Linked DNA regions of Saccharomyces cerevisiae S288C. Changing the gene in region 2 together with the main gene of any one other region gives a genetic interaction. Each region holds a gene or a part of one and is shown on either strand. Other genes may lie near its edges. The genes, in order: SMI1, NBP2, BUD14 and BNI1.

Region 1 (3,937 bases), on a different chromosome or scaffold from region 2:
AATTACCATAAGCAGTACGAAAAGACTGTTCATGGAATTTTTATGGTTCATGCTCTTCAATGTCGTTACTTTAGTTATCTTTTCCAAGGTCTCATTTCCTTGGACCACTGAGCCCTATTTGCAAAGAATAATATGGTGAACAGAATTGATTATAGTTGCAAAAAGACGTTCTATAAATGTTTACTAGTAGTATTTATTTTCTTTTTTTATTTCCATCTTTTAGTGGCCAACCGTTTTGTATATATTGATTTTTCTTCGTAGTGGCCTCAAACCGTTTGAGCCACTTAATGGCAAATGATAGCGAACTTTCTCCTGCTTTTAGGAATACTCTTATAGACATAATGCATTGATTTCCACGAACGTTCATGGTTGGTAAACGTAAGGGAATTGTGCTATATATATATATATATATATATGATAATATTGTATAAATTTCTTAAGGTTGAAACCTACCTAGAACAGTTTAATAGAAATAAATATTGTCCAAATTTCTTTTTGGTTGTAGAATGTTAATTGTGATATTTCATAAAGCTATATTTTCAAATTCTTCTCTCGCTTCTTCCACTTTAGCATCATCACTTCTTATTTCATTTTCTTCCTTTTTGTTCATTTCTTCTGTTTGCTTATTTACATCATCGTCTTTTTTTGCTGATTCTGTGACATGTTCGTTTTCAACGTGTTCTTTTTCTTCAACCTTTGGTTGCTTTTCGTCTTCTTTCCTCTCGCTTTCTTGTTTAATGTCTACATTATCAGCTTTGATTTCATGCTCTGCTTGTCCAAGGCTTTCTGTATTTACAGTTGTAGTCTCCGCTTCGCTAGGTTCTGTTTTCACAATTTTGACAGATTCGTGATCTTGAACAGATTGTACATCTGCACTACCACTATCTTCGCCCTTTATGGATTCTGCGTTGAGGGTAGAAGGCTGTTCAGCTGCCACTTTCTTTTGCGAGGCAGGCACGTATTTCTGCTCCTGCAAGGATGTGTCAGGTTGAGATTTTTGCTGTTGTGATCTCAAGTTTTCTTGATACTTGATCCACGTTCTTCTTTTTAAAACTTCGAAATAATCTTGTATAGGACCATTAGATTTCTTATCCCTGAAGACCAATTCACCATCACCGCTAAAGTAGTCGTCATTGTCATCTACTAAATACCAATTACCAGCTTCCAAATCGTTGGCAAACGATAACAGAAATTCACCCCAATTTTCAGCAATGACAAATTTCGTATCGAAGTCCCTCCCAAATGTTATAATTTGAGCATATTTACCATTTGGACCAGGCGCCAAGTCAACACCGATATGGTTACCGGCATTGTCCGTTATTAAAGGAATCCAAGCAGGATGTGCATATACCGGTTGCACTGCATTTGGAGGAATAGATTTTTGATCTGGGATATTTGGCAGTTTGAACTTGTTACCATTTAGTCTTTCCATAGATGAAGAAGAGCCAGTAGATGTAACATGGGATAAACCTTGTTGAGATCTTTTGTTTAGGTTCTTTGCGACGTTTCTCCAGGCCTGAGTCATAGCTACAACCTGATCTAGTGTCATTAGTTGGAAGCCATAAAACAAGCCAGAAGTACCGGTCATCGATTCTAAATCTTCTTGGCCATCATGAATTTTGAAAGACGCTTTTACTGGGTTGGGAAAGCTAACTTCCAAGTCTTCCTCTGCGTGAGTGATATCGTTTTGGGTGCAAGGATCACTCAAAGTTGCATTTAAATCTGGATTATGTTCACTGGTCCAAAAATCGATGTGTCTCCAAGCTAAGAGGGTTTCAGAGACACCATCGTTTGACTCCGTGGACGTAAATTCATCAATATTTATGTCTTCATTAGATGGCACGCCATTTTGAAATCCCATGCTCATTTCCTCATCTACACTATTCAAATGCATTTGAGAGGGATTTACCTGACCATTGTTGCTGTTTAAACGTTTACCCATGTTAAAAGTAGGCGTTTCATCGGGGTTATACTCTGCATAATGGTCGTCAGTGCTGAGGGAGTATACCCATTCTTTAACTTTTCTTTTGAATAGATCCATTTTATACTAAAAAATTCTGCCAAGTTGTCGCCTATAGAACGAATGTGCGTTTATTTTGTATTTTCTTTGCGTATTGATAGTATAGCTAGTCCTTGTATATTTTCAATTTTTCGATAACTTTAGTCGAACACGAAAAAAAATAATTAGCGGATTTAATTTTGTACCTTTATTTTCAACAGGCTTGATTCTTGAATGGCGTATTTGCAAATATTTCAATATTGAGAGAAGCTAAAATTTCTAAGAATGGACTTGCGTTTGAAGATTGCGTAGCAGCGCAAAGAATTGATTAAAATGTAATTTACTCTGGAAAGAAAACACAACCTTTTCAGTTGCGGTGCAAAAACATTCTTTTGATCTCGAAGTAGGAAAACTGACATTAGAAAAAGAAAAAAAAAACAATCTGCGAATTATGCATTTCTTTTTTTCGCTTTTTTATTTTCTTTTTTCTTTTTTTCGACCTCCAATAGGGCTTTGGAAGCCCTATATGTAATCTAGGGTAATGACATATGTCACGTGCTTTAGGGCTTGGTGCCTTTATTTTTATGATTATGTGACAAGGATCTAAGGGGGTTTTCCAGATACGGGAAAAAATAAATAGTAGACTATCCTAAAAAGGAATGTAATTAACTTATGATGTACAAACGGTGGTGCAATGCATGTTAAGCCCTGCAGGTAAATGGATCAGTGCGGAGTACGCATCTTTTGCGATGTTCCCATGTAGATTGGAGCCTCTCTGCTTCGTTCTAACTCTCCTCCGTTGTCATAAAGGCCTGCGATTAGTAAGGTGGAAGGTATCTGAAGTTAATGCTAGGATTTCAAATGTATACCTTTTTATTCTCTTGAACAAATAACGAAATCCTCTACAAAAGGTTTCTATTGAAAGTTCCCAATAAGCAGCAAATTCTTCTTCCTCTACTTATCTGTGATTTTTTTTTAAAAAAAGTTAATCAGAGGCTACTACATCATTGCGCTAAAAAAAAGTAACAGATTTGCGATGTCATACGGCGGATCGGCATCCCAAGATATAGTGACAAAATTGATTAGAAAAATCCAAAATACGTCTGTGTCTTGCACCAGGAGGGATGAAAATCTAGATTCTTTTAATCAACACTTGAAAATGAGTCTTAAAGTTGCGCATAACACGAAGACATTTGCAAAGCATTGCCTTCATCGACAAGTATTCAAGAATACGTATCGGAAAAGAAAAGCAGTGGAAGATCAAAGGAAAAACTTGAACACGCAACTTAGGCAAAAATTTGCGTCGCCGTCAGACAATTTGCTTTCACCATGCTCTAGAAAACTGAATGATCACAAGTCAAAACTTTTCTCAGCCAAATCGCAACCCAAAACACTGGAGTTTGTGCGGGGCAAACAGAATATACCACGCAAGCCGAATGTAGACATTTAATTTAACGGATGATGATCATAAATTGGCCTATTTTTTTGCTGTATGTGTTACATATTATACTATATACGTTCTCCAACAATACAAGATGATACGGGGTAATACTCCTTATTCTTATTCTAGAAGACATACAAATATTTATGTTTTACGCATCGCTTTCTTTCCCTTTATTTTGTATTCACAAGTATATGGCATCTTAACATTGTTACTCAATTCTTAAAGATAATATCTAGCCTTCGCTATTTATTTGCCCCTTCCATCGATTCTTGCATCCACTACGGTATTTAGCAACAATGCTTCATTATCCAAGATGACTCTATTTGGAGAGCTAGCCAAGATCTTTGCAATGTCCCTGGCTGTATCTAATCTTTTCAATTCCACGTAGTCTCTTGATTTCTTGATGGCTTCACCAATCAGTTCGGCGGATTTGGCTTCACCTTGTGCCCTCACTACCATACCTTGTTTTTCTTGTCTGGCTTTATCAACTACAA
Region 2 (2,864 bases):
AGGGTTTTACTTATTATTTAATGAGTAAATTAGAAATTTTCAAGTTGAACAATCCCGAAGTAAGCCTGCGTCCGGAAAATATATACGAGTTTAACCAACTCATTCAAGAAGTTCCTTTGGATTTATCCCACGAACCAATCTCCCAGTTAATCTATGACTCAAGATTAGCGCTAAGTTTTGCATTGCAAGCAGGTGTCAATGCTGACAGCAAAGATGAAATTGTGCAAGAATTATTGGGCGGTGCTAATGCTTTACTCCAAGAAATTGGTGGTCCTCTAGATCCAAGTGAGTTAACACAAATCAAGAAGGGTGATTTAGTGAATGAGAATGAAGACTTGGAAGAGTTGGACATAGAGGAAGAATATTCTGACTAATAGTCTTCTAATTTAACATATGCATAAGTACATACACTGATATATATGTATATATCCGTAAGAAACGGAAATTATGACATAGAACAGATGGAAGAAGATTCGGCCAGGCATACCGCCAGGGTGGTGACCTCTTTATCTGTTTTTAGTGAGTATTTTACTGTCATAACCAATTGGAATTTGTATTCAATCCGATATATCTAATTTTGTTTTCATATCTGCTTCGACCTCCGCAACATCATCAATATCTTCCCATTCATCGTTGTCGTCGTATTCATCTTCGTTAGTGTTATCAATATTGTTTTTAGGACTAACGCTCTGTGTAATCAAATGTGTCAAATAGAAAGGTCGAGCCTTATTCTCCACCTCGTTCTCACCATCTTCCGGCTGTATATAAGAGACAAACTCCTCCGGTACCAACCCTGTTTTTGATCCTGACTCATTTTCTGCTACTAGCCAACCTTGCCCATGCTTGTAACTGATAAATACGATGTCACCCTCAGCCAATCTCAATTCATTATCATTTTCGGGTTCGAAATCGTAGAGGGCAACAGCACGTTGGTTAACTATGTAGTCGTCTGGTAGTGTTATACTTTGTCTTTTATTGTATGTGTCTTCTCCATTTGAAGAATCTGAAACCATTTCATCCTCCTCATTGTCTCCATCAAAATAACCATAATGGAGAGGATTCGAATCTGCGTACGCATAATCTTTGATTGATATATAACCTATTGTGGTTGTTTCTGTATCTTCCATTGTGTCACTATTTCCTGCCTGCACTGCCTCCACCTCTCTCCCGTTCTGTAATACTGCCTCATTGAGAACACCTATAGTTTTTTTGAGACCAGATTTCAAAATATTGGTATCTTTTTGTGTGGTCGTTTCCATCGTTGCCATCGTAGATTCAATAAATATGTCAGTGGAAGTTAAAGTAAGGTAAAGTTGAGAAAAATACTTAAAATTTGTTAGTATCTATCACGTTTTATTGGTAGCTGTTATTATGTGTGATTGAGCGTGTTGTTACTGTGCACTGTGTTGCATTGTCCATTACAAGCTACTTCTGAAGTGAATTCTCCATTTCTCGCAACTGGAAAAATAAGTTGGTGTGACTAAAAATAATAGTCTATCTCTTCACGAAAAGGAAATAGGAATGACAAAGCTCCAAAAGGCTCCATAAAGAACTTGCTCAGAGGCTGGCATTTGAAAGGGCTACAAGACCATGACCACATCACACAGACCACAGTTAGAAGCAAGAAGCGGTGCAAAAGCGGCCGCTTATACACCAACAGGCATCGAGCATGCCAGATTACTACCAGGACATACAACATTAAAATACAGGAAATTTAAAGAGGAGGAAAATCTTAGAGCAAACTGTGCGCAAGAAGATAGGAGCAACGATAAATCTTTAGAGGAGGCAGTAATGAACGAAGAGAAACAGGATGTTGTGGGGAGTGGGAACCTCCAAGAAACCCGCAGTGAGAAAGACCAAAAAGACTCGTTGCAAGAGCTGCTGGTTACTCAAAAAAATAAAGTGGAAGATAAAGCAGAGCTTGAAGGAAATGAACAATTAAAGGGAGGAAATTCGTCTAGGCGATCGTGGAGAAAGGGCACGGCGTTTGGACGCCATAAAGTAACCAAAGAGACAAATATTAAGGAACATGCAACAAAAAAATCAGCGTCCGGATACATTAACGATATGACAAAATCTGAATATCATCAAGAATTTCTCCATAAGCATGTTAGATAGTACATAGGAACGATACATAAATAGTACGTTTATATCTTTTTTTTTTGACAAGAGCAAGTGATTTTTTTTATCACTGTCTTCTTTAAGGGATCATTTATCATGGTGAGATTTTCTTTTCAAGAACCTCGAGAATTTGCTACGTTTCTTCTCTTTTTCGGGTGGTTCTGACTTGAGAGAACCTGCTGCTTTGGGACTAGAAGTACCAGACTTAGGACTATTGTCTTGGCTTTTTAAATGAACATGAGAGACTGGTTGTGCCACCGGTTTCATTTCCCTTAGAAGGAAATCAGGCGGGTTTACTTGCTGGCGCTGATCTTCCTTGAATTTGAAAAATTCTCTAGGATTTTGTAAACGTTCCACTTCATCTAAGAATTTTGTTGGTGTTAATATCTCGTCGCTGCCAATAAAGATATCTCTGTTCTTCAAGTTTGATTGATCATAAGCAGCTTTAATTTCGGGAATTGATATACCACCAATAACATAGTAGAAGAATCTTTGTCTAGGTATGTTTTTTTTTATATTAGAGCTTTTCGTGGTCCAAGCTGCCTTGTGACGGGGATTCCTTAAGGATGAGGAGGAGTTAGCAGAGGTATTCGCTAAGCCTGCTTGGAATTCTTCTTCATTCAATAACTCAATTGGCTTGTCCTTTAAATATGGGAAGTATTGTTCGCTCAATAACAATGGATTCGCTATAACCTTTGAAAGAATATTCCCTACAGCGGGAACGAACCTTGAAGTGTGATAGA
Region 3 (4,242 bases), on a different chromosome or scaffold from region 2:
AAGGTTCCAGAATCTATAAACGGATATTATGGTAAAAAATTTGCCAAACCTGCATACCACTGGCAAACAAGATATCGATAAAATTTGCTCTGAGAACATTTATACATTAATACATACGGGTATGTATGAATCATATTCAGTGAGGAGTTACACTGGCGACTTGTAGTATATGTAAATCACGTTAGTGAGACCATTTAGACCCTGTCAATGTTTCATAAGCCTCTATATATTTGGCCCTTGTCCTGTCGACAATGTCTTGGGGCATTTTGACGCCGTTAACACCGTTCAACTTATTAGCAGTAAGCCAGTCTCTTAAAAATTGCTTATCGTAAGAATCTTGGGATTCTCCTACCTTATAAGAGGCACCGTTCCAGAATCTAGAGGAGTCTGGCGTTAGCACCTCGTCCACTAGAATAATTTCATTGGTCTTTTCGTCAATACCGAATTCGAATTTAGTGTCTGCGATGATGATGCCCTTCTCCTTAGCATAATCTTTGCACTTGGAGTACAGTTTTACAGCCAGTTCTGCCACTCTACGTGACAAATCTTCACCCACCAGCTCAGCGGCCTGGGCAGGAGAGATGTTTTCGTCATGTTCACCTTGTTCAGCCTTGGTCGATGGGGTGAAGATTGGTTCTGGGAACTCTTGAGATTCTTTAAGTCCTTGAGGTTGTTTCAAACCATGCACAGTACCTGTTTTTACGTACTCTTTCCAAGCAGATCCGGTGATGTAGCCTCTGACAATTACTTCCAATGGAATTAGTTTATGTTTGTGAACCAATAGAGAGCGGTCTTCTAGTTGCGTTTTGTACTTTGGTTCGCTCAATTTTGCAGGTAGATAATCGAAAATAGTCTTACCTGGGGCGATGTCGACCAAATGATTACGAACATCGTTGGACAGGAACTTGAACCAGAACTCTGACAGTTTGGTCAATAGGATCCCCTTTTCAGGAATGCTGTTTTCCATAATAACGTCATATGCAGAGATACGATCCGTAGCAACAAACAGCAACGTACCAGCGTCTACCTCATATATGTCTCTAACTTTACCTCTGGCCACCAATGGCAATATACCGTCCAGTTCAGTCTTCGTAATTGACATTATCGTTAATATTTCGTATGTGTATTCTTTGTAAGCAATGCTTATGATTCGATTGTTCTTAATAGTACCAACTGCAAAAGATAAAACCCAACCGTCTTACCTCAAAGAATCTGGGTAAGAATATATAGAATGTATATATATATATATGTATGTCTATATGTATTAGATGGCATCTTCGAGATTAGTATTATTACATCCTCATCTCTCGCAAGAGTCAGACTGACTCGTGAATAAGCTTCGGGTGACCCTTATGGCATTCTTTTTCAACCTTCAGGAAAAGTTTCAGATGAGTTGAAATTTCGAGTATGGCTACATGGATCAAGTGCTGTAAACAAAGAAGCTTCTACAGGGGTACGCTGGTTGTGTTTTCTGCTTTGCTATCGTGTAGAACTGGATCCATTCTTTCCTGGCTGTGGTAGTACTTAAGGAGTTGGACGTGTTCAAGTCGAGAAAGAGGTGAAATACACGTAGTTTTTAGATAACATTCTCTGCTTGGTAAGAGAATGAGTAATAAGGAAGAGCATGTTGATGAGACTTCCGCAAGTGGTGTCAAGGAGGTTAGTTCTATAGCTGCTAGACATGACAATGGTTACGCGCCTTCGCTAATCACGTCGACGTCGGGCATGGACTCCTTTCAATCGCACGCGCTACTGAATGATCCAACCCTAATAGAGGATTATTCAGATATCATTAATAATAGGCCTACAAGTGGAAGTAAACTTACTTTAGGAAACGAGGATTCGGAGAGTATGGGCGGAAGTGTTGTGGTGACTCCGACTTCGAATAAGAGTTCGCCCTTCAATTCGAAACTTAATATACTGAGTAATGCGGCAGAAAAGGGCCATGATGTTCTGCGAAATAGAGATGATGACAAAGAGTTAGAGGAGGAGAACGTGGAAAAACATATGCATAGCAACAGTAAAAGGGATCAGCGACATTACAAAGAAAATTCTTCGGAATTGCCCGACTCATATGATTATTCGGATTCTGAATTTGAGGACAATTTGGAAAGAAGGCTACAAGAGATCGAAACTGATTCCGTGGATAGCGCCGATAAGGATGAGGTGCATTTTTCAGTGAATAATACAATGAACCCTGACGTTGACGATTTTAGTGATGGCTTGAAATACGCCATCTCGGAGGACGAGGATGAAGAGGAAAACTACTCTGATGACGATGACTTTGACAGAAAATTTCAAGATTCAGGGTTTCAAGGGGAGAAAGACGATTTGGAGGAGGAAAACGACGATTACCAACCCTTATCGCCGCCAAGAGAACTGGACCCTGATAAACTATATGCTTTATATGCGTTCAATGGCCATGATTCTTCACATTGTCAATTAGGGCAAGACGAACCTTGTATACTTTTGAATGACCAGGATGCCTATTGGTGGCTGGTTAAGAGGATCACTGATGGTAAAATCGGGTTTGCGCCAGCGGAAATTCTAGAAACCTTTCCAGAAAGACTAGCTCGATTGAATTGCTGGAAAAATGAAAACATGTCTTCTCAATCGGTTGCTTCCTCCGATTCGAAAGATGATTCCATCAGCTCTGGTAACAAGAATCAAAGTGATGCAGAGAGTATAATTCCGACACCTGCACTGAATGGATATGGTAAGGGGAACAAATCTGTTAGTTTCAATGATGTTGTCGGTTATGCAGACAGGTTTATAGATGATGCAATTGAAGATACCTCGTTAGATAGTAACGATGATGGCGGTGAAGGCAATGGACAGTCGTACGACGATGATGTTGATAACGACAAGGAAACAAAAGTAACGCACCGGGACGAATACACTGAAGCGAAGTTAAATTTTGGCAAATTCCAGGATGATGATACGAGCGATGTAGTGAGCGACGTCTCCTTTAGTACATCTTTGAATACACCACTAAATGTGAAAAAAGTTCGGAGACAAGACAACAAAAACGAAAGTGAGCCTAAGACATCATCGAGTAAAGACAGAGAAGATGATTATAATGCAAATCGGTATGTGGGGCAAGAAAAGTCTGAACCGGTTGACAGTGATTACGATACCGATCTGAAAAAAGTATTTGAAGCGCCTCGTATGCCATTTGCGAATGGTATGGCAAAATCAGACTCTCAAAATTCCCTTTCAACAATTGGCGAGTTTTCACCGTCGTCGTCAGAATGGACAAACGAATCACCATCCACTCCAATAGTTGAAGAAAGCAGCAGTATTCCATCATCTAGAGCAATAAAGGACATTTCACAATATATTCATGCAAAATCGAAAATTGAAGAGACAACAAACGTGGAAAACACAGAGGGGCAAATTCAAGCCAGCTTGGGGTCTAGTGGAGGAATGGCAAATCAAACTGACGCAGAACAACCTAAAGAGGAGCTAGAAAAACATCACAGTACCCCCGAAGAAGAAAAGCAATCAACCTTATCGTTACACTCATCATCTGAAGAAGATTTTTATATGGATGAACAAAGGGCGGTATCATCAGCAAGCATAAATAGTTCACTTTCCGGATCAAGGGCATTGTCTAATACCAATATGTCCGATCCGGCTTCGAAGCCCAATTCTTTGGTTCAACATCTCTATGCTCCAGTTTTTGACAGAATGGATGTGTTGATGAAACAATTGGATGAAATTATTCGTAAATGATATTGTCCTTACAATAAAGCCTGGTCTTTTTCTCATCCAACGAACTTGCATCATATTCATGAATATTTATTTGTTTTAGAAACATTTCGGAAAAAATAAGGTAGTAACAGTTCAGCATATATGATAGCTAAAACAAACAACTATATATCGTATCTACAAAGTTTATCTTACTTCTTCTATTTTTTAACTTTGCTTCAGATTATGATAATGAAAAGGAGGAATAAAATTCTGTCATTATTCAGCATCCTCCAATGTGTCATAGGGATATAACTGGGGTTGAGGAGGTAGTAGTCGACAACTACTTAGTCGTGATACAACAGTATGGATAGGTACTTTCCACGAACATTACTGATGACAGTCAGCTATTCACGAATTCAATTGTGTTGGATTAACAAAAAAATTTGGACGCAACCGGAATCGAACCGATGACCTCTTCCTTGCAAGGGAAGCGCGCTACCAACTGCGCCATGTGCCCAACTCATTACAATACTAGACTTATGAAGGAAT
Region 4 (7,925 bases), on a different chromosome or scaffold from region 2:
AGGAATTATTTCAAAAATGCAATAGTAGAGATCATTTGAGTAAAGATGAATGTAAAGTGTATCATAAGTGATCTATAAACATTAAAATTATATATATATATGTGATTTAATGATTCGTGACTATTTCTTTGTACTAGTGCTTGTTTGGATGTTTGTTTTGGTATTACTGTTGTCATAATTTTTTGGTTTAATATTTTATTTGAAACTTAGCCTGTTACCTGTGCTAGCCTCACCTATGGATCTTTCCTTGCGGGCCCTCAATTTTTCTAGATGTTCATCGAGTATGGAATTTTGCTTTACTGGTGTGTCAGAGCCTCTTAGCTCCTTTAATAACATTCTAGCTCTGTCACTAATTTCCTCTTGATCTTCCAGCGCAGATGTCTTGGATGGCGATGGTAAATCTTCAGAGGTATTCATAACACCCCTTGTGGCAAGCGGAGTGGGTGATTCAGCGTGAATCACTGTATCGGCAGTAGGGTCCATAGCTTCTGGAGAATAAAGAATAGACCCTTCTTCAGTATCCAAATCGTTGAGTAATTGTGGAGCGTTGTCTTTTTCAGAAAGATATTTTTTCCTCACTAGGGCTCTCTTTCTGGCGGAAGATGGGTCACTTTTAGCAGGACCTGCATTTTTCAACTGTTCTAATAGTTTATCCATAACAGCGCGCCTATCTTCTGCTTCATCCTCTTCATTTCCTTCAGATGAAGGCGAATTGCTGTTCTCTTTTTGTTTTTCCTTTTCTTGTGCCCTTTTTTGCTGTTCTTCCACTATTTTCTTATGCTTTATATAAAGTCTTTCTTCTTCTTCCGCGGCTAGATTTTGCGCTTGAGCTTTTTTGTATTCATTTATAAAATCTGCAAATTTCTTAAAGAATGAGATTTTTGCAAACTTATCACCAGAATCTTCACCGTACGTATGCATCAGACTTTCAAATTCCATGATAGTCAGCTTAACTTCGTCTTCTAACAAGTCCCCCTTTTTTCTGGCTTCCGGTAACACGGGCAATGTTTTTATCAAAACTTTATCTAATGGATGAAACTTTGAGGAATCGCTTAAATTACCAATTTCAACTGAACGCTCTACGTTTACAATCGATTGGCTAAAGTCCTTACAGTCGTTAACTAACTGCTCAATGGAAACTTTCACGACATCCAATACAGGTTCTAATTCACTTAGAAAGTCATTGAAGCTTGGATAATTTAACCTGACAATTTTTTCGACGTAATTTAGAAAGGTCATGCTATTGGTAGTATCCTTGATAAACGTCAACCTCTGCAAGGTTGAAAGTTTGAAACCTTGTGCCTGCTTAGAAGTGTCGTTCATGAAATTACCAACTGCTAAGATAACATTAAAGACATTGCGCAAGTTATCTGATTCTTGAAGCGCGCTAACAGCTTTGTCGACTTTTCTTAACTTTGCCAATAACTCATTATATTCTCTTTCATACGAAGTAACCACTGTGAGAGCTCTCATACGTGAACCCCAGTATGATTCTAGATTAACCATCAATTGCAAATAAATTTGGTCAGCCCTCTGTAAATCGTTTGGATCTTTTTCAGGGGGCTTGGCATCTTCGAGATTCCTCACGCCCTCCCAGTCTGTCGAATACGGGGCGTAATTCCTAGCTAAATTAACAGAAACTTCAATTATTTCAGATTTTGACAAAAACTCAACAACACTCGGTGTTTGCAAAAAATCCCTATCGCAGTTTAGAATCTTTTTCACCAGATCGGCAACCGAAAGTGATGAATACATATGCAAATTGATACCAAACTGTTGAGAAATATCCCTGGATAAAAATGTAATTTTCTGCAGATCTTCCTTGCGCTTGCTTGCTAATGATTTAATTTCCCTAGCGGCAAAGGCCTTTTCTAAATCAGCAAGAACACCCTTTTCGTATAAGTCATCTGCGAACTTCTCAGCTTTACCTGTACCCCAAATAGAATTATCAGTACAATCTAATTTTTCCCAATGCAGTTGCTTTAATTTCTTGTGTGGACGAGGATACTTTTCAAATAATGAGGGCGATTGAGGAAGTAATGGTGATGTTACAGCTGATTTGATTTGCGATGCCGGCATCATAGGTGGAGCTGGCGGAATGACGCCATCAGTAGATGAAGATAATACAGATGGTAGCGGCGGCGGTGGTGGTGTTTCTCCCTTGGGTTTGCCGAACAATGCCATGGGTGGAGGAGGAGGTGGTGGTGGTGGAGGGGGAGGAGCAGGAGAATCCCCAGTAGTTTCTTGCTTGACAGTGTCGTCTTCCGACTTTTTCTCTTTCTCCAACGATTCACCGAACAATTTGGCGGGAACTGGAGGAGGAGGAGGAGGAGGCGGTGGCGGCTGTGAGGAGAGTACAGATGATTGAGTAGAGAGATCTTCTGCGCCATCTGTATTATTCAGTTTACTCACAGCGCTGAAATCCGCTGTTTTATCTTCTTCATGATTTACCACACGCCCTTGCTTTCCGTTTTCCACATGTTGTCTCATGTCTTTCTCAGCTTTGTCAAAGGCGGAAGCTGCACTTGCCGTGCTGTTTTCCGGTAAAGATTTTTTATCTAGACCTTCATCTTCATTTTGTTCATATGGTTCAACTTTATTTACCTTCTGTGTTAACTCCTCTAAATATGGAGCAGAAGACACGGTGGATTTTCTGAGTCTGTTCATAAAGGTCTTTTCAACTTTACTATGTAGAGGTCCAATACCCGAACCGTTATTGTTCTCTCCAAAAGCAGCCGATGCAGTAACATTTTGACCAGTACCATATTTTTGAGATAAGGCATCGAGAAAAGACCCAGGACCTGATCCTGAAGATAGCTCTGAGTGTTCGCTCCTTAGTTCTTGAGTTGGAGATGCGTCTTGGTATATTTCCTCACTTTCATCATCAGAACTTGAAGAGGAAAGATCGCTTTCCCCATCTTCTTCTACTTGTATTTCGTGTTCGGTTTGAGTCTGAATATCTAACAACTGGTCCGTTATTCTATTAATCTCGTCTAACTTTTTCTGATATGTCTTAGGGTCAAGACTGGCATAGTTAGCGTCTTCTTCCGTTTCCACGTCCCCAGTATTTTTCTTTGGACTGTCCATAATCTCGTCGACATTAAAGTCAATACCAAATCCTTTGTATTTTGTTTCTAGTTCTTTCAGTCTCTTTAAAGCCAGAGATTTCTTTTCATTAAATAGCTCATTAACACGTTCTTCGACGTTAAATTTGGAAATATCATTACTTTCCATTTGGATTTCAGCCAAAGCCCGCCTTAGGTCATTTAGTTTATTTACGTCCGCCTCTTGAGGCTTGACTAAAGGTTTCCTATCCTTATTTTTCATCTTCTTCACTTTGGGCTTCTTAATATGTATTGGAGGTTCAAGACGATCTTTCTCAAATTCAGCAAAATTTGTCATCTCTAGTTGCCTGGCTTCATTTTCAATATTTTCCATTTGCATTCTTAACATTTTTAATCTCTTATTAGGTTGAAGTGTCATGCCGAATTTTTTTGAATCATCCTTGTAATCCTTTTTTGCTCTTGATAATCCGTCCTGTAACACCTTTTGGATATTCGCTTTCTCTGAAGAATTTAGGCTCGAGTTCATACCTCTGGTGCCTTCATTCTTATTGAAGCTTTCTTCAGGCCTCGAATTCAATATAGTCAACATTTTTCTCAATTCTACCTCTTGCTGATGCTTTTCCAAAAGATGCTTCTTTTTCAACTCTTCTAACTCAGCTTCCAGCTGCTGCATAACTCTCTGATTCTTAGCTAAAATACGATCTCTCTCATGCAACTCATCTTCTAACTGTCCAACGAGTCCGTGCTCCGCCTTGCTTAACTTTTCACTTAAAGAATCCCTTTCTGCCTGAATTTCTTCCAATTTCTTCGTTAGAGCTCTACTTTCTAATATAGCTCGACGTGCAACTTCATCAGTCTGCATGGCATCGTAAAGCCGCTGGATAGCCATATTCATATTAGTTTCTTCATCAGAAGTTGAGGCAACACTAACATTAGTCACCAAAGAATCCATAAGTTTCAATTGCTTAGTAAGTTTAGAGGAATTTTGGTTTTCTTCTATTAACTTTGAACTAGAAAGGAAAAGATGTTGAACTAAAGATACTAAAAGCTTTTCATTCTCGGTACCTTTACATATATCCCAAAGGTTTTTTAATAATGATAGTGGATCGTGTAAATCTACATTAAAAGCCTTATTGTTGGCCTCTAATTTAACGTTAAAATCGTCAAGTTTATTATTGTCATATAACTCAATTTGGTCAATTACCTTGTCGTAATCTAGCAGTTTTATTTTGTTCATAATTCGTAAAATTCCACAATTTTCTAGTTTCGTCCTTAATAGCATTCTTTGATTTATGTTATCAGAGCAAGAGCATAAATGATTGATAAAAACCATTGTCCATTGGCAGTATTCTAGAATCGCATTTTCACCCCCACCATTTTTAAATTCATCCGACGCGCCTACTAAGGAACCCATTTTTCCTCTTCCATCTAAAGTTTGTTCAACGGCAAATAACCAGGCTTGAATAATTTTCAAATGACTTTCCAAGGTTAAATGAGAGAAATACTGGGGCATTTTTTTGAAGTTTTGAATCATATGAAGATTTTGCCCTATCCTAAACTTTTTATCTAGTGAGGTAAGAACTGCTTCGAATCTGCTTTTATTTTTTTTTTCTAGCATACAAACAAAAATTTCAGTGGCCATTTTCCTTGTGGCCAGTTTCGTAGAGAATAAACCTTCTGCAACAGTATCAGTCATTAACCTATGTGTACTGAACTCATACAAACCTTGTGAGAGCATTGATAAGACTCTGAAGCATTTAAAAAATGAATTTTCTTTCTCTAATAATTCTTTAGTCAAGTTTTCTCGGGGTGCAGTCTTATAAATAGAGTTCATTAGTACATTAGCCATAGCAATGTGACCCTGATGGTCTATAAAAGCGTCTACCCAGTCTAACTGTTCAGTTCTTAAAGTTACCCATAAATCTTTCATCTCATCGCTAGTAAGTTTGTCTGCCAGGATTCGTTGCACATAATGTATCGGTGGTCTGTTTGTTCTGTCTCCTGGAAGAGTAGATGCACTCGTATTGTTCTCAGCCCCACCTCTATAAATATTGTTTAGAGATGGCTGCTTTTTCAAACTCCCGCTCACTAATTTTTTCCCCTTCGAGGTTGACGTACCTACCGATGAAAGAGTAGTAGAATGATTTAAACTGTTGCTGTATACAGTTGAGGTGGGAGAAGAGGCGCTTGTCATCAAAACAGATTTGGGAGACGAAAGAGATGAATTAGCCGTAAGGATAGGATGATGGTCCGACGCCATCGAAGTTCTGGAGGCAGTGGAAGAAGATGTAGTGTTTGCTCGCATTTTTTTTAGCTCATTTTGTAAATCCTGCTTAACAATCAGCCATTTCTTCTCAATGCTGTAGCCCATCAGAGCTTCTTGTTTGTCCTCTGATAAAGACTGAAAAATATTTCTTTTATACATAATATCTTCAAACAAAACTTCCACCTCGTATGGGTCCGACGGCATTTCTAAATAAATTTTACCATCGGGTGTAGTGAATTTGCTCAAGTTAGTTAGCGAACCTTGAGAGAGAAGACTTGATGCGGAGTGACTTTGCCCGGTATGCTGCCTTGTTAGCTTATTGGACGCCTGTGAAGAATTCCTCTTGGAATACGAATATTTCGATTGCATTGAATGCGACCTTGCGTGCTGTGAGGATACGGGAACATCTCCACTTAATTTACCATTCATATATTGAGACAAGTTTTGTGTGTTTAATGTCGATTTTTTATTCAACGGCCTCGCCTCAGTAGATGTAGACCTAGAAGGTGCATTCAGTTTTCTAAAAGATGACGAAGATGCAGGTGAAGTGGACACTTCGTTTCCCACTGGAGAGTGCTGTTGTTGGGATGCATAGGTCGGAGAACCCGTATTGCTATTCGTTGCATTTGAGTTAGCCAAACGCTTCAAATTTTGGAATATACCAGAACTCGAATTCGAATGACTTTCCTTTGAGTTCGAATGTTTGGAGCCTGAATTCTTCAACATTTCCTTTCCTTCTCTTCCTTTCTTGCTTCTCGTTTGTTGAAAAGGTTCAGGTGCCTTCTTTATGTGGCGTGTATTTAGAATTTAACTAGGCTTGAGTTAAAATGTTTCTCCTCAATACAGAAGATAGATACAAATGGCAAAAAAAAAAGTAAAAAATGGCCCAACTGTATGAGACGTATAAAAAACGTGAAGGGTGAAGAAAAGAATGCCACTGTCCAATTTTATGCTTAATACGAAAATAATTAACACACAGCCGTCAGTGTCCTCTTATCTGTAGGAAGGGTCCGTGCTATTGTTCTTAAAAGGGATTCTAGTTTTCCACATCTGTTTTTTCTTTCTTTCCCTCTTCCACGTCAAAAACTTCCTCTAACCGATGTCGGGTAAGCCATGGAAATTACGGGCGATGACTTTCGGCGGCTAACAACGAAACAACTAGGGAGTAATCATATAATCACAGGAAAAGAGTTGAGCAAGGATTTGGCAAATATACATATACATACATACATACATACATACATATATATGTGTGTGTGTGGTATGGAGTATTATTCTAAAATTATGAAAGGACATCCCAAACTCGTTGCCACCTTGTTTTACATTCTGGCTCTATCCATACCAACTCCTCTATTTGCCGGCGGTCAGAATCGATATCGATATCCTGCAGCTTCCAGAGTAAGCGGCACTTAAACCAAACTTGGAATGATAACCATATGGCCAAAAATAGGAATATTGATATATATGCAGCGACAAAGTCTATAGGCTGAAAAGTAGGTGCGAAAGCGGTGAAGCCCTGGATCAGAACAATTAGAGCGATGAAAAAAGATGCATAATATGCCAAAAAAGGCATCATTTGAGCTTTATAAGGTAAGTCATCCCTCGATATACCACGTTTCCTTATGGCTTGCATGAAACGGATATGAGAAAATGAAATCAAAAGCCAGGCAAAGAAACCGGCCACACCAGTTATGTTCAATAACCAGTTAAAGGCCTTGCCGCTGCCTGCAGAAACCTCTAAGAAAGCCAAAAATCCGAACACGGATGTAGATAGAACAGAAAAGTATGGAACACCACCTCTGGTCACGTTAGACAAGAACCTTGGCGCCAAGCTATTTTTAGACAGACTATACAGTACTCTTGAGCCAATGTACACATTAGAGTTACCTGCGGAAAGAATGGTGATTAGCACGACCGCGTTAAATATATCTGGGAGAACTTTTGTGCCTGAATTCTCAATGCTTATCATAAAGGGCGATGAAGAGACAAATATACCGTCACTATCCAACTTTGGGTCATTATATGGGACCAAAAGGCCAATGAAAAATAGTGAAAGAATGTAAAAGACTAGAATCCTCACTACAACTTTCTTTATTGCCCTCGGGAGAGCTTTTCTTGGGTTAGCCGCTTCACCAGCGGTTATCCCAACCAGTTCAGTACCTTGGTACGTAAATGCAGCATTAATCAAAGAGGAAACCCATCCGAGAAAACGGCCCTCATTTTTATCACTGGAGATAATGCCAGGCCCCCAGGCTCCTGGATTTCTCCAGTACCTGAAACCGATGGGTCCATCAGATTGTCCCGCACCACACACAACACAGAATGAGAAAATGATAAAACCGAGCAACGCGATGACCTTTATGGAGGCAATACAAAACTCAAATTCTCCGTAATACTTTACGGGAAACATGTTCATTGAAGTTAACAGGCACCAAAAGATCACGATCCAAGCCGCTAGAGGCACTGCTTCTGTCCAGTACTGAATAACTTTCCCCAAAACGGATAGTTCCAGTGCGAAGGTGAAACACCACGACAGCCAGTACATATATCCGTTAGTCGCTCCCAGCGCTGGCGACAGAAATCTTTGGGCGAAG

What was found.
Region 1: mutations in NBP2 (region 2) and SMI1 are lethal when combined (synthetic lethality), as found in Saccharomyces cerevisiae (6 studies listed by BioGRID, with this or other methods).
Region 3: mutations in NBP2 (region 2) and BUD14 together harm fitness more than expected from each alone (negative genetic interaction), as found in Saccharomyces cerevisiae (5 studies listed by BioGRID, with this or other methods).
Region 4: mutations in NBP2 (region 2) and BNI1 impair growth when combined (synthetic growth defect), as found in Saccharomyces cerevisiae (5 studies listed by BioGRID, with this or other methods).

What each region holds. Positions count from the first base shown.
Region 1 is NC_001139.9:948,859-952,795, forward strand, and holds SMI1 (Smi1p), read right to left. Parts: upstream 2,042-3,937; coding exon 524-2,041; downstream 1-523. Other genes in the region: DIE2 (dolichyl-P-Glc:Glc(2)Man(9)GlcNAc(2)-PP-dolichol alpha-1,2- glucosyltransferase), read left to right, coding at 1-139; OTO1 (Oto1p), read right to left, coding at 194-367; BNS1 (Bns1p), read left to right, coding at 3,036-3,449; prohibitin subunit PHB2, read right to left, coding at 3,690-3,937. UniProt on the Saccharomyces cerevisiae protein: Protein involved in the regulation of cell wall assembly and 1,3-beta-glucan synthesis, possibly through the transcriptional regulation of cell wall glucan and chitin synthesis.
Region 2 is NC_001136.10:779,833-782,696, forward strand, and holds NBP2 (adaptor protein NBP2), read right to left. Parts: upstream 1,269-2,864; coding exon 558-1,268; downstream 1-557. Other genes in the region: ACL4 (Acl4p), read left to right, coding at 1-374; U2-type spliceosomal complex subunit CWC15, read left to right, coding at 1,591-2,118; SEC1 (Sec1p), read right to left, coding at 2,209-2,864. UniProt on the Saccharomyces cerevisiae protein: Negatively regulates the high-osmolarity glycerol (HOG) pathway through its negative regulation of the HOG1 kinase activity. Mediates the binding between the PTC1 phosphatase and the PBS2 MAP/ERK kinase (MEK).
Region 3 is NC_001133.9:166,235-170,476, reverse strand, and holds BUD14 (protein phosphatase regulator BUD14), read left to right. Parts: upstream 1-1,605; coding exon 1,606-3,735; downstream 3,736-4,242. Other genes in the region: serine/threonine protein kinase KIN3, read left to right, coding at 1-81; ADE1 (phosphoribosylaminoimidazolesuccinocarboxamide synthase), read right to left, coding at 182-1,102. UniProt on the Saccharomyces cerevisiae protein: Important for bud site selection. Seems to be a regulatory subunit of the BUD14-GLC7 type-I phosphatase complex. The BUD14-GLC7 complex is necessary to regulate microtubule dynamics at the cortex and may function as a specific activator of the dynein complex.
Region 4 is NC_001146.8:129,327-137,251, forward strand, and holds BNI1 (formin BNI1), read right to left. Parts: upstream 6,058-7,925; coding exon 196-6,057; downstream 1-195. Other genes in the region: arginine permease ALP1, read right to left, coding at 6,614-7,925. UniProt on the Saccharomyces cerevisiae protein: Required for the assembly of F-actin structures, such as actin cables and stress fibers. Nucleates actin filaments. Binds to the barbed end of the actin filament and acts as a leaky capper, slowing both polymerization and depolymerization.